Saccharomyces cerevisiae S288C: one gene and its partners. The protein of the gene in region 1 binds, or shares a complex with, the protein of each later gene. Each region holds a gene or a part of one and is shown in the gene's direction. Other genes may lie near its edges. The genes, in order: SLA1, LSB3 and END3.

Region 1 (6,214 bases):
ACCTTGGATCAAATGTTCATAACACAAATCAAACAATCTTAATATTAGATAAATAGTTTCCTTTGTATCTATTAACATCGATGAACCCGTGTTTTCGATATTTTTTTTAATTAAATATCCTATACCTCTTAGTGAAAAAGCCTGTATTGGAGAGAAAAGACCAAATACTTCATCTACTAGTGGAGTGGTGGCTAGAAATGAATCTGGACTTTGTGATTTAACCATTTGGTCTGTCCAAAAGGAGAACCTCGTCATGTGTATTTTATTTCTATACTTGTTGGTTAAAAGATACGTTTCTATCGATCTTTGTGGGCGAGGAGAGAAACTGGAAAGCTTGGGGTAGTTTATTTCGGGATTCCAACTGTTAATCAGGTTATTCAACTGCGACTTCGTTTTATCAATCAAGAGCTGAGTGTCATCACAAGGCGGCAGAGCGTACAAATTTGTCAGAATATTTTGATACGTAACCAGTTGATTTTGATATTTGGAATCATCTTTAAAGAGAATATTATTATCATTAGTAGGATTATTGGAAGTATCAGGAGCATGCGTCGCACTCGGAGAGACTGGAGTCTGTATCAGGTCGTTCATCAGTTTGAAGTAATATTGATTATCTAGCTTAATCGCAGTGTCCAGATGCTGTACATCTGCTGAAGCCTCTACATTGGCGTGGGAAGAGGGTGGAGCAACAGCTGTAGTAGGCAAAGACTGGGAACTATCCTCCTTCTGCGGTAAATGTTTTTTTAGGAATACACACGTACAATCGTAAGAAATGCAGTTGGTACATGGATATTTACCTGTGCATTTGATTTTCCTTTTTCTGCAATTGACACATGCTGTCGAAACTTTTGATCTAGTTGATTTCTTCACTTTCATTGCGGTCACGCAATAAGAAAAAATTAATAAAACTGCTGATGCAGTTGTCGCCTAAGACCTATGGTTGCTTTGGAAGGCTCCTGAAGACACAAACACAGGAAATACATAAATACATTAATGAGATTCTATAACAGTATCTACATATTTGCATTCTAAGACTCACTGTGATAGTTCATTTATTATTCCGCGGAAAGTCCGAGCGGCAGAGGAGGCAGCTCCGCGGAAACAAGGGCAGCGCCTGTTGTTCTGGAAGAAAATGAAAAGTGAAATGCAGTTGTCGTGGAAATAATGGCTTTACCTGAAAGCAGCAGAGCACGGTGTTAACAAGGAATAGCTGAGAATGAGTGGAAGTAATATGGGATACTATGACGTACTCGCAGGGCTTTCAGCGCTGGAAAAGTCATCCCAGGTAGTGTTCAGTGCGACTGAGCTTCAACAGCTTACGCAACAATCTCATGCTACCGACAAGGGCATAGAGGGCAGTGAGAATAGTAAAGCGAAGGTATCCAAGCCCAAAAGAGTAGCTGTACATGGTTACCTAGGCGGTAAAGTGTCGCTCGCCGATGCGGCACAGGTGGAGTATGAAGTAGGCCATTCACTGCTGGGCAGTTATGTGCCACGCCAGCAGTTGGAAGCCCTGTCAAGTGTCGACTTTTCGCACCATTTCCACCGCACATTAGAATGCAAAGCTGCTCTAGAGACACACGATGTTTTTCTTGCCGGCGCAGGACAATTGTCTCTACCCTTCCAATCACACATAGAGAGCCCCAGGAATAGCGAGGCTAAAAGGAAAAGAAAAGTGATAATATGCAAACGGTGTCAATCACGATTTATAGGTTCCCATAGGCGGTCTCAACTTAGAGAACATGCCTGCGTAGATTAAACCATGTAATTGATAGAGGTAGAATGTTGCTTCGTAGAAAGTGACTATACGATTCCTAAAAGGGGCTTCCTTCCACTCATGCGAAATCGAGATACATCAGACGAAAACAGAACGAATATTTAGCGCATATATACTATGTATATCTATTGCAATCCTAAAAGAAGGGATAGTGTAACATAGCCAAGGCGACAGAGTGTGTTATATACAAAAGAGCTAGAGTATGACTGTGTTTCTGGGCATCTATAGGGCCGTCTATGCCTATGAGCCGCAGACACCAGAAGAACTGGCCATCCAAGAAGACGATCTGTTGTACCTCTTACAGAAGTCAGACATTGACGATTGGTGGACAGTAAAGAAAAGAGTCATTGGTTCCGATAGCGAAGAACCGGTGGGTCTAGTGCCCTCCACTTACATTGAAGAAGCTCCTGTTTTGAAGAAGGTAAGAGCCATTTATGATTATGAACAGGTGCAAAATGCTGATGAAGAATTGACGTTTCATGAAAATGACGTTTTTGATGTATTCGATGATAAAGATGCTGATTGGCTGTTGGTTAAGTCTACCGTTTCCAATGAATTCGGCTTCATTCCAGGCAATTACGTCGAACCAGAGAATGGGTCCACTTCCAAGCAGGAACAGGCTCCCGCTGCCGCTGAAGCTCCTGCAGCTACTCCTGCAGCCGCTCCTGCTTCTGCTGCCGTACTACCCACCAACTTTTTACCACCTCCTCAACACAATGATAGAGCTCGTATGATGCAAAGTAAAGAAGACCAAGCTCCAGATGAGGATGAAGAGGGCCCTCCTCCTGCCATGCCTGCAAGACCAACGGCTACTACCGAAACTACTGATGCCACCGCTGCGGCTGTTCGATCTCGTACAAGACTATCATACAGCGATAACGATAATGACGATGAAGAGGATGATTACTATTACAACAGCAACAGCAACAACGTTGGAAATCACGAATACAATACAGAGTATCACTCTTGGAACGTTACCGAAATCGAGGGAAGGAAAAAGAAGAAGGCCAAGCTATCAATCGGTAACAACAAGATAAACTTCATACCCCAAAAGGGGACTCCTCATGAGTGGTCAATTGATAAATTGGTCTCTTATGATAACGAAAAGAAACACATGTTCTTGGAATTTGTTGATCCATATAGAAGCCTTGAATTACACACTGGTAATACCACCACATGTGAAGAGATCATGAACATTATTGGTGAATATAAAGGTGCTTCCCGTGATCCTGGGTTGAGAGAAGTCGAAATGGCTTCCAAATCCAAAAAGAGAGGTATTGTTCAATATGACTTCATGGCTGAATCACAGGACGAATTAACCATAAAATCAGGCGATAAAGTCTACATTTTAGATGATAAAAAATCTAAGGACTGGTGGATGTGCCAACTGGTTGATTCAGGGAAAAGCGGTCTCGTTCCTGCACAGTTTATTGAGCCTGTTCGTGACAAAAAACATACTGAATCTACAGCAAGCGGTATCATCAAGTCTATCAAGAAAAACTTCACCAAATCTCCATCTAGGTCGAGATCTAGATCAAGATCTAAATCCAATGCCAATGCCAGTTGGAAAGATGATGAACTACAAAACGATGTTGTAGGTAGTGCTGCCGGTAAAAGGTCAAGAAAAAGTTCATTGTCCTCTCACAAAAAAAACTCTTCGGCGACCAAAGATTTCCCCAATCCAAAAAAATCGCGTCTATGGGTTGATAGAAGTGGTACTTTCAAAGTGGATGCAGAATTCATTGGATGTGCTAAGGGGAAAATCCACTTGCACAAGGCTAATGGTGTCAAGATTGCTGTCGCCGCTGATAAACTATCCAATGAAGATTTAGCGTATGTGGAAAAAATTACTGGGTTCTCCTTAGAGAAATTTAAGGCGAATGATGGGTCTAGTTCCCGTGGCACTGATTCAAGAGACTCTGAAAGAGAAAGAAGAAGGAGATTGAAGGAGCAGGAGGAAAAAGAACGCGATAGGAGATTGAAAGAGCGTGAATTATACGAATTGAAAAAAGCCAGAGAACTCCTAGATGAAGAAAGATCAAGGTTGCAAGAAAAGGAATTGCCTCCAATAAAACCACCAAGACCAACCTCTACTACCTCCGTTCCAAATACGACGTCCGTACCACCAGCCGAAAGCAGCAATAACAACAACTCCAGTAACAAATATGATTGGTTCGAATTTTTCTTGAATTGCGGCGTTGATGTAAGCAATTGTCAAAGATATACAATAAATTTTGATAGAGAACAGCTTACTGAAGACATGATGCCTGACATCAATAACTCAATGTTAAGAACCTTGGGTCTGCGCGAAGGTGATATTGTTAGAGTAATGAAACATCTTGACAAGAAATTTGGAAGAGAAAATATTGCATCAATTCCTACAAATGCCACTGGAAATATGTTTTCACAACCTGATGGTTCATTGAACGTTGCTACAAGTCCGGAAACCTCACTGCCTCAGCAATTGTTGCCACAAACAACAAGTCCTGCTCAAACAGCTCCTTCCACATCAGCTGAGACAGATGATGCTTGGACTGTTAAACCGGCTTCTAAGTCTGAATCTAATTTACTCTCTAAGAAATCAGAATTTACTGGTTCCATGCAGGATTTATTAGACTTGCAACCTTTAGAACCTAAAAAGGCAGCTGCCTCGACACCTGAACCAAACCTAAAAGATTTGGAACCCGTGAAAACTGGCGGCACCACTGTTCCTGCTGCTCCGGTTTCATCTGCTCCGGTTTCATCTGCTCCCGCTCCATTGGATCCATTCAAAACCGGTGGCAACAATATCTTACCCTTATCTACTGGCTTTGTGATGATGCCAATGATTACTGGGGGCGATATGCTGCCTATGCAAAGAACCGGCGGCTTCGTTGTACCACAAACAACTTTTGGTATGCAATCGCAAGTTACTGGTGGTATCCTACCTGTTCAAAAGACAGGAAATGGGTTAATTCCTATCTCTAACACTGGCGGCGCAATGATGCCACAAACTACGTTCGGCGCAGCAGCTACCGTCTTACCTCTGCAAAAAACTGGAGGTGGCCTAATACCAATTGCCACCACAGGAGGTGCGCAATTCCCGCAAACTTCATTCAATGTTCAGGGGCAACAACAACTTCCAACAGGTTCAATATTACCTGTCCAAAAAACTGCTAATGGATTAATTTCAGCTAATACTGGTGTCTCAATGCCAACTGTACAAAGAACAGGCGGCACTATGATTCCACAAACATCATTTGGCGTTTCACAGCAATTAACAGGTGGTGCAATGATGACCCAACCTCAAAATACAGGGAGTGCCATGATGCCTCAAACATCCTTCAATGCTGTACCACAAATTACTGGAGGAGCAATGATGCCTCAAACGTCCTTCAATGCTTTACCACAAGTTACAGGGGGAGCAATGATGCCTTTGCAGAGAACTGGTGGTGCTTTGAATACATTTAATACTGGAGGCGCCATGATTCCCCAGACTTCGTTCAGCTCTCAAGCTCAAAACACTGGCGGGTTCCGGCCGCAATCCCAATTCGGTTTGACTTTACAAAAAACCGGAGGTATTGCGCCATTAAACCAGAACCAGTTCACTGGTGGAGCCATGAATACTTTAAGTACAGGGGGCGTTCTTCAACAACAGCAACCACAAACGATGAATACCTTCAATACTGGTGGTGTTATGCAAGAGCTCCAAATGATGACTACTTTCAATACTGGTGGTGCTATGCAACAACCACAGATGATGAACACATTCAACACCGATGGAATTATGCAACAACCACAGATGATGAACACTTTTAACACTGGGGGTGCTATGCAACAACCACAACAACAAGCATTACAGAACCAACCTACTGGATTTGGGTTTGGTAATGGACCTCAACAATCAAGGCAAGCCAACATATTCAATGCTACTGCATCAAATCCGTTTGGATTCTAGATTAATGTATTTTAAGATTTTATAGGATAATAACTAAAACAAGCTATATGAAATAGTTTCGTACAATCTGTGCTTATACTCGTGAAAATGGCAAATTTCTCTTTTTTTTTTTATAAGTAGTTATGTATGTATTTTACTAATTTTAATATAATCGTTCTCAGTCCCAATAATGTTTTATTGTCATATTATACTAAAGTTGAAATGGTGGAGTCGACCCTAAGAATTTATTTCTTCCAGACAGAGGAGGTGTGTAGTCACTTTGGTTCCACTAATAGACAACCGACATTAAAATACTTCTGATCTGTGCCTTCAGAAAGCTTCATCTGTAACCGCTTGTCTGTATGAGTCGTTTCAAATGGTAACCACTTAAACAATGCGAATACTACAATGATATTTATAAAATATAGACGTAATTATGAGGGAAAAAACTTGTCCAAAGGAAGGGGTATAAGCTTATTATTTATATAACGACCAACAACCCAGATCCTTAGTCCATTTAT
Region 2 (4,039 bases), on another chromosome or scaffold:
TATAAAATGGAGGAAGAGGTGATAATATTATTACGTAGAATTCTCTTTTTTGGATTCAGGATCAGTGAGGACAGCTTCTAGTATATTCTGCATACCTAAATGCTATTCTTTTTTTTATCAATTTGATTTACTAAATGCTATTTATCCCAAATAATCCATATAAGATTTTAATCTAGATGGAGGGTAAAAGCGCGGAAACATGAGTGTAAACTGATTGTGCAGATATTTACACATTTGAGTAGCTCGTCAAGGGCAATCAAGCTTTCAATCTTGCCGGTTTCATACATGTTGATAAGCTAATGAAACTACTAATGTCTTGCTGTAAAGTAAACCTGTATCATTTCTGTTTGGAAGATTTCAACAAACGTTCGGGCGTGTGGCGTAGTCGGTAGCGCGCTCCCTTAGCATGGGAGAGGTCTCCGGTTCGATTCCGGACTCGTCCATTTAAATTTTTTTATTTTTTTTGTCAAATCTCTCTATCTATAGAGATAATCTCTATCAACTCAAATGATACTGGATATTATATGTACATTTTCCATTTCCCGTACAATCTTTCCCTTTCAAACACATTTTAGTACTTCTTGATACGTACAATTCAGTAAAAATCCTCGAGGTCATGCACTCACACCATTCACACTCCGGTGACTATAGTGCCCACGGTACGGACCCTTTGGATTCCGTGGTCGATCAAGTGGTCAACCTCAACTTTCACACGTACTGTTTGACAGAGCACATACCAAGAATTGAGGCCAAGTTTATATACCCCGAAGAGCAGTCATTGGGCAAGAATCCTGAGGAAGTCATAACCAAGCTAGAAACATCGTTCAAGAATTTCATGAGTCATGCGCAAGAAATCAAGACTCGTTATGCTGATAGACCCGATGTGCGGACTAAATTCATTATAGGAATGGAGATCGAAAGTTGTGACATGGCTCATATCGAATATGCAAAGCGACTCATGAAGGAGAATAATGATATTTTGAAGTTTTGTGTGGGTTCGGTCCATCACGTCAACGGGATCCCTATTGATTTCGACCAACAACAATGGTACAATTCATTGCATTCCTTCAATGATAATTTGAAACATTTTCTCCTGTCTTACTTCCAATCACAGTACGAAATGCTGATCAATATTAAACCGTTGGTCGTGGGTCACTTCGACCTTTACAAATTATTTTTGCCCAATGACATGCTAGTAAACCAGAAATCGGGCAACTGCAACGAAGAAACCGGAGTTCCTGTAGCTTCACTGGACGTCATCAGTGAATGGCCAGAAATATACGATGCAGTTGTAAGAAATTTACAATTTATAGACTCCTATGGCGGCGCAATTGAAATCAATACGTCCGCATTAAGAAAGCGCCTCGAGGAGCCGTACCCCAGCAAAACCTTATGTAATCTGGTCAAGAAGCACTGTGGATCCAGATTTGTTCTAAGTGATGACGCACACGGCGTGGCGCAAGTGGGTGTGTGCTATGACAAGGTAAAGAAATACATAGTAGACGTGCTACAATTAGAGTATATTTGCTACCTTGAGGAAAGCCAATCACCAGAGAATCTGTTAACTGTAAAGAGATTACCCATTTCGCAATTCGTTAATGATCCCTTTTGGGCCAATATATAATCTGATTATCTTGAACTGGATGTACATAAAAAAAAACTGTCATATAAACTCATGTACAGCTGTGTAGAAGTGAATGATCTTTCCAAGAAAAAAATTTCACACTGAATTGATTGAATTGACTGCTCATTTTATATTGGGTGCCCAAATTGTCTTTCTTTATTGTTCGTTTAGTAGCAGCACCCTGTTTGCTCGCCGACTCGGCCGCATCTGGAAGTTCAACATGAAAGAGTATAAACTATCGAAGAAATCTAGAACGGCTTTGGATCACGGGTGGCAAAGAAATCAAAAACAAAAGCTGTATCACACGCAATGGGTATTAACAATCCTATTCCAAGGAGTTTAAAGAGTGAGACAAAGTATGTTTTATACGGGTTTGGCTGGGAAACCTTTAAAAAAGTTCTCCCTTAATTTGTTCATCATTTACTAACTAGTAATAAACAATTAATAAAGAAAAGCAGCGAAGATTTTGGCTAGTTTTGTCAAACCAAACCAAGTTTTTGGTGCGGACCAAGTCATTCCTCCAGACGTTTTGAAAAGAGCTAAAGGGTTGGCTATCATAACGATCTTAAAAGCAGGTTTTCTATTTTCAGGTAGAGCTGGTTCTGGTGTGATTGTCGCAAGATTAAAGGATGGTACTTGGTCAGCTCCATCTGCCATTGCCATGGCAGGTGCTGGTGCCGGTGGGATGGTTGGTATAGAATTGACTGATTTTGTTTTCATTTTAAATACTCAGGATGCTGTTAAGTCGTTTTCTGAATTTGGGACCATCACGTTGGGTGGTAACGTCTCCGTTTCTGCTGGGCCTCTTGGTAGAAGTGCAGAAGCAGCTGCATCAGCCTCCGCCGGTGGTGTGGCTGCAGTTTTTGCCTATTCTAAGAGTAAAGGTCTATTTGCAGGGGTTTCTGTGGAAGGTTCGGCTATTATAGAAAGAAGAGAGGCTAACAGAAAATTTTATGGTGACAATTGTACCGCGAAAATGATTTTGTCTGGTAGGATAAGACCGCCTCCAGCAGTTGATCCATTGTTTCGTGTTTTAGAGTCCAGGGCGTTTAATTACAGACCCTCCAACGGTGGTCGTGGCAGTTTCGATGACGACGAAGACGATTACTATGACGACGACGATTACTATAATGACATTCCTAGTTCATTCAGTTCTACAGATGCTTCCTCCACTAGACCTAACACAAGATCCACAAGGAGAAGAGCCCAAAGCGGTTCTCGTTATACGTTCGACGATGATGATGACGATGATGATTATGGTACTGGCTATTCAAGGAATTCAAGACTGGCTCCTACCAACAGTGGCGGTAGTGGTGGTAAATTGGATGACCCATCTGGAGCTTCAAGTTATTATGCCAGCCACAGAAGATCAGGAACTGCTCAGTCAAGGGCTCGTTCTTCAAGAAATCGTTGGGCTGATGATGAATACGATGATTATGATGATGATTATGAATCCGGGTATAGACGCGGGAATGGAAGAGATAGGACAAAAGACCGTGAAGTCGATGACTTGTCGAACAGATTTTCTAAATCTAGAATCTCGTCCGCTTCAACACCGCAAACTAGTCAGGGCAGATTCACTGCTCCAACATCCCCATCCACGTCTTCTCCAAAGGCCGTGGCATTATATAGCTTTGCAGGAGAAGAGTCCGGAGATTTACCATTCAGAAAGGGTGACGTGATCACAATTTTGAAAAAATCAGATTCTCAAAATGACTGGTGGACCGGAAGAGTCAACGGTAGAGAAGGTATATTCCCAGCAAATTACGTTGAACTAGTTTAAAAAATTTGAAGGAGAGTAAAGAATACGAGAAACGTTATTGATTTACACTTATACCTTTTGCCTTACAGTTTATCAGCACTCGGACCTAAATACATATCATATAGCAGACGGCGTCCCTCTGTCTATCCTTTTAAGAATTTTTTCCATAATAATAATTTTTAATAATATCTAAATATAACGAAAAAGATTGAATTAGTGTAAATAAAAAAAATAAATAAGGAAAACTCTAGCTAAATTAACAAAGAGACATTCATCTTTTAAATCCTAACGAGCTTGCAGCCTCTTCAATTTGTTTTTGCAATACACCTTCATGATATGGACTACTATTTAGCAACGATAAAAATTTGTCCAATATTAACACATCGCGATTCCAATAAGTGTCGAATATATACTCAGCTATTCCGTGCACATTTTCGTCTCTAGTGGCACTTGGAAATCTCATGAAATCTATACCTCTTCTTACTTGCTTTTCGAATGTTTCCAAAACTTTCTTATTGAAATTTTTATTCTTTATTAGTGATCTTGTGCTGCTATTCATTGACGAAAGATCTCTCATGTGTGGGGAGTTCAAACTATTCGCATGTGAGTACTGGTAATATGGGGTAATTTGTGGATGAGAAGAGGTGTGTATA
Region 3 (3,374 bases), on another chromosome or scaffold:
TACACATAAGGATGTGCATATGTTCCTTGGGCTTGTAGTCTTGTTCTTAAAAGATTGATTGGATAAACAACAGAAGCTCCTACAGTTCCACTGAATGCACCCATTGGAAGTACAACCAGGTTGCTTAGAGTGACCTGATCTTGTGGTAGGTTCAGGGTCTTTGCCTGTTTGGCAATATACCATTTTTTTAAGGCAGAAAAAGTCCCCAAATCTAATGCAGCATAGGGAAATATGCCCACTATACCGACTGTGACACCTCTGTAAAATAATCTGACCCCCCCCCTCTCGAAACATATCTTTTGCAGTCTGAAAGAGCAAATTATTCCCCTTCAACTTTGTGTCCAAAGGAGCGCACTGCACCCTGAATTTCAAAGTATCTATAGGATAAACGGAAAACTGAGCTGCCATACCAGCTAAACCACCAGCAATGTAAGTAGAGAACTTTGAAAGATCTTTTGTGTCGCGGCAGCCTTCTAATTTGGTCATTATTTTCTTGGTGACCTCGAAAGAACCAAACTTTATCGAACTTTCTGGAAAAACTTTGATGACGTTTAAACCGTTCCCAACATAAAAAGCCTTTATCCCGCCTTGCCTATATAAGCTTTTGACAGCCTTTGCTAATGGAGATGATATCTTGTTTATGTCAGCATTGGGGTTTTTAGCAAGGAGATCTGTTTTTGAATTTAACAAGATCGAGGATAGATCCGTTCTTGCGATGAGAAACACTTTCAGTCTATCAAATGGCGCGGTACAAGTCCTTGAAATAACACCTGAAATACCACCAGCAATAAAAAACCCGAACCCGCGAATGAAATCGTTTATGAGAGTAACATCTCCCTCTGAGGACAGATCGACATCTTCGTTGAATAGGTAAAAATAGGAATAAGCAGTATGAAGTCTCGAACCCTGCTTTCTCGGTACCAGCAGCAAAAAGTCTCTCCATTGATCATATGTAACGTATAAATCTGAGTCGGTGGTTTTCTTTGACCGATCATTATCAGTATTCTTTTTGTGGCTAGCCTGGCCTCGTAGCGCAATGTTGGCTTTTCTCTTTGGAAACGCCCATTCAAAAAACCTCGAGAATTTGTTCATCTTTTCATTTGAAAGTTCATGATTAAGTTCATTATTACATATGCTCTGGTTGTCGAGGTCTGACAAATACCTATTTATTTCGTTAATGCCAATCTTACCGTCATGATCTAAATCTATCCTCTGGAAGCCGTTCCAAATTTGAGATTCGGCATTGGAAGCATACTTCTTGAAATCGCTTAAATCAACTACAGAGTCCTTGTTAACATCCATTGCAGTAAACAGCATTTTGATTGCCTCATCATTTCCCTTGAGCGGATGGTCGTTCTTCTCAAAAGCACTTATCAGATTATCTAGAGTAACTTGACCATTTCCCTTAACATCAAGTTCCTTGAACAAACACGCATACCGTATATCTCGCTGCTTGTCCGTCTCGCAATTTTTCAGCAGCATTTAGACCGTCATTCGATTGAATTAAACGTTATTTGCCCCTTCAAATATTCAATATTTCCCATCGCTAATAAAAAAGCTGCATTTTTATTTATTACTTTTTAAATATCATATTTGACGATCGTGTAGGACCCCTATGATTTAACATATCAAGAATGAATGAAAAGAACGTCAGAAACACAAGGTTAATTGCCTGTTATAATCAGACGATTGTAATATAACCATAGAGTTAGTGGGTATTGGAAAGGCCGGTAAAGATAACAGGGATCTCTGAAAAATGCCCAAGTTGGAACAATTTGAAATAAAAAAATACTGGCAAATCTTCTCGGGTTTGAAACCAATAGAGAATAAGGTAAACCATGACCAGGTTTTACCAATTCTTTATAATTCCAAATTAGATTCATCGGTTCTAAACAAGATTTGGTTTTTAGCTGATATTGATGACGACGACAATTTAGACTTTGAGGAATTTGTAATTTGCATGAGATTAATATTTGATATGGTTAATAAAAACATTAGCTCTGTTCCAGATGAATTGCCTGATTGGTTGATTCCAGGGAGTAAGGTGAATCTAATCAAAGAAAGAAAGAAGCGCAAGCAAATAGAAAACGCAGACTTGCCTCCAAAGAAGGAAATCAAAGTAGATTGGTACATGTCTCCAGATGATTTGAATCAATATGAAAAAATTTATAATAGCTGTGCAAAACTAACCGATGGTACTATTACATTCAACGAACTGTCAACAAAACTTTCCACAAAATTTTTTAACATCAGTAAGACAGATTTAAATAAGGTTTGGAGTTTAATTAACCCACAAAATTTGCCATCAATTGATAGAGATCCTACTTTTTATTTTATTCACTGTTTAAGACAAAGAAATGATTTGGGTGCTGAAATTCCAGCAAGTTTACCAAATTCTCTGGCGGAGGTGTGCAATAAAAAACAACTGAGCTATGATTTACGGTCCTCTCAACCTCCTACAAAGAGAAAAGAAGAAGCTAACGAAGTGGACAATCTGCGTGACAATGGGCAGAACTCGAGTTCCGATAGCAGTGGCAGTAACGTGCTTTCAAATGAAGACAGTATAAAGCAAAAATATGCTTCTCTGACAGATGATCAAGTTGCGAACATGAGAGAACAATTAGAAGGCCTTTTGAACTACAAAAAGAGTGAAAAAACTCAAGGAGGCTCAAAACTTTCTAAGCGGATTAACATCAGGTCGATAACTGATGACTTGGATAACATTGAACAGCAGGTTGAAGTATTGGAGAATTACTTGAACAATAAGAGACACGAATTGCAAGCATTACAAGCAGAAATCAATTGACACCGATAATTAATTTTATGTACATGAATGTGTAATATTTACTGTTTGTTATTTCACTTGTAAACTTTTTTGATTTGAACTTCAATCTATCCAGTAACGGTGTGGTGTATACTTATTTTTTCCTTTTCTTCTCTGCCGGAATTTCATAAAATTTTTACTGTTCAGCGTTCTTTACATATTTATATAATAGAATATGTCATATAAAGAAACAGTGACTTAGTTTCTGTTTTACTTTTTTTCTCCTATTTCTACCGTGATTTTGATTAGTTTTTTCTTTAATTGTTGCTATTCACTGTGCTTGTGTTAAATCTTGATGATGGTACTTGAACCCTCTGAATAATGATAATATACCTCTTTACAGTAACTATCTTTCTTTATTGGGTGCTTTTTAAATAGTTCCACTATTTCCATCATACTCATTCTCACGCTTCAGCTAGATAGAGCTGTTGTAGTAAACTCAACTGCTTTAGTGAATAATTTAAACACGTTTTCATCGATTAATTTCGCAGCATTTAGCTCCTGCATGACTTTTGAAATTTCAAGAAGAAATCTATGGGATTCGACAAAC

The links.
Region 2: the proteins of SLA1 (region 1) and LSB3 are in contact, whole or in part, in a crystal structure (PDB 1SSH), measured with the Saccharomyces cerevisiae proteins. Residues at the interface, in NP_009546.1 of Saccharomyces cerevisiae: Pro193 (codon at 2,556), Pro194 (codon at 2,559), Pro195 (codon at 2,562), Ala196 (codon at 2,565), Met197 (codon at 2,568), Pro198 (codon at 2,571), Ala199 (codon at 2,574), Arg200 (codon at 2,577), Pro201 (codon at 2,580); in NP_219497.4 of Saccharomyces cerevisiae: Tyr409 (codon at 3,252), Phe411 (codon at 3,258), Glu414 (codon at 3,267), Glu415 (codon at 3,270), Asp418 (codon at 3,279), Gln436 (codon at 3,333), Asn437 (codon at 3,336), Asp438 (codon at 3,339), Trp439 (codon at 3,342), Ile450 (codon at 3,375), Pro452 (codon at 3,381), Asn454 (codon at 3,387), Tyr455 (codon at 3,390).
Region 3: SLA1 (region 1) and END3 share a complex: the UniProt entries of both Saccharomyces cerevisiae proteins name them as parts of the PAN1 actin cytoskeleton-regulatory complex.

Annotation. Positions count from the first base shown.
Region 1 is NC_001134.8:212,132-218,345, reverse strand, and holds SLA1 (cytoskeletal protein-binding protein SLA1), read left to right. Parts: upstream 1-1,979; coding exon 1,980-5,714; downstream 5,715-6,214. Other genes in the region: drug-responsive transcription factor PDR3, read right to left, coding at 1-876; LDB7 (Ldb7p), read left to right, coding at 1,217-1,759; HIR1 (Hir1p), read right to left, coding at 6,171-6,214. UniProt on the Saccharomyces cerevisiae protein: Component of the PAN1 actin cytoskeleton-regulatory complex required for the internalization of endosomes during actin-coupled endocytosis. The complex links the site of endocytosis to the cell membrane-associated actin cytoskeleton.
Region 2 is NC_001138.5:201,328-205,366, reverse strand, and holds LSB3 (Lsb3p), read left to right. Parts: upstream 1-1,933; coding exon 1,934-1,980; intron 1,981-2,074; coding exon 2,075-3,407; downstream 3,408-4,039. Other genes in the region: HIS2 (histidinol-phosphatase), read left to right, coding at 617-1,624; PES4 (Pes4p), read right to left, coding at 3,658-4,039.
Region 3 is NC_001146.8:469,485-472,858, reverse strand, and holds END3 (End3p), read left to right. Parts: upstream 1-1,756; coding exon 1,757-2,806; downstream 2,807-3,374. Other genes in the region: Ca(2+)-binding ATP:ADP antiporter SAL1, read right to left, coding at 1-1,482; MKT1 (Mkt1p), read right to left, coding at 3,236-3,374. UniProt on the Saccharomyces cerevisiae protein: Component of the PAN1 actin cytoskeleton-regulatory complex required for the internalization of endosomes during actin-coupled endocytosis. The complex links the site of endocytosis to the cell membrane-associated actin cytoskeleton.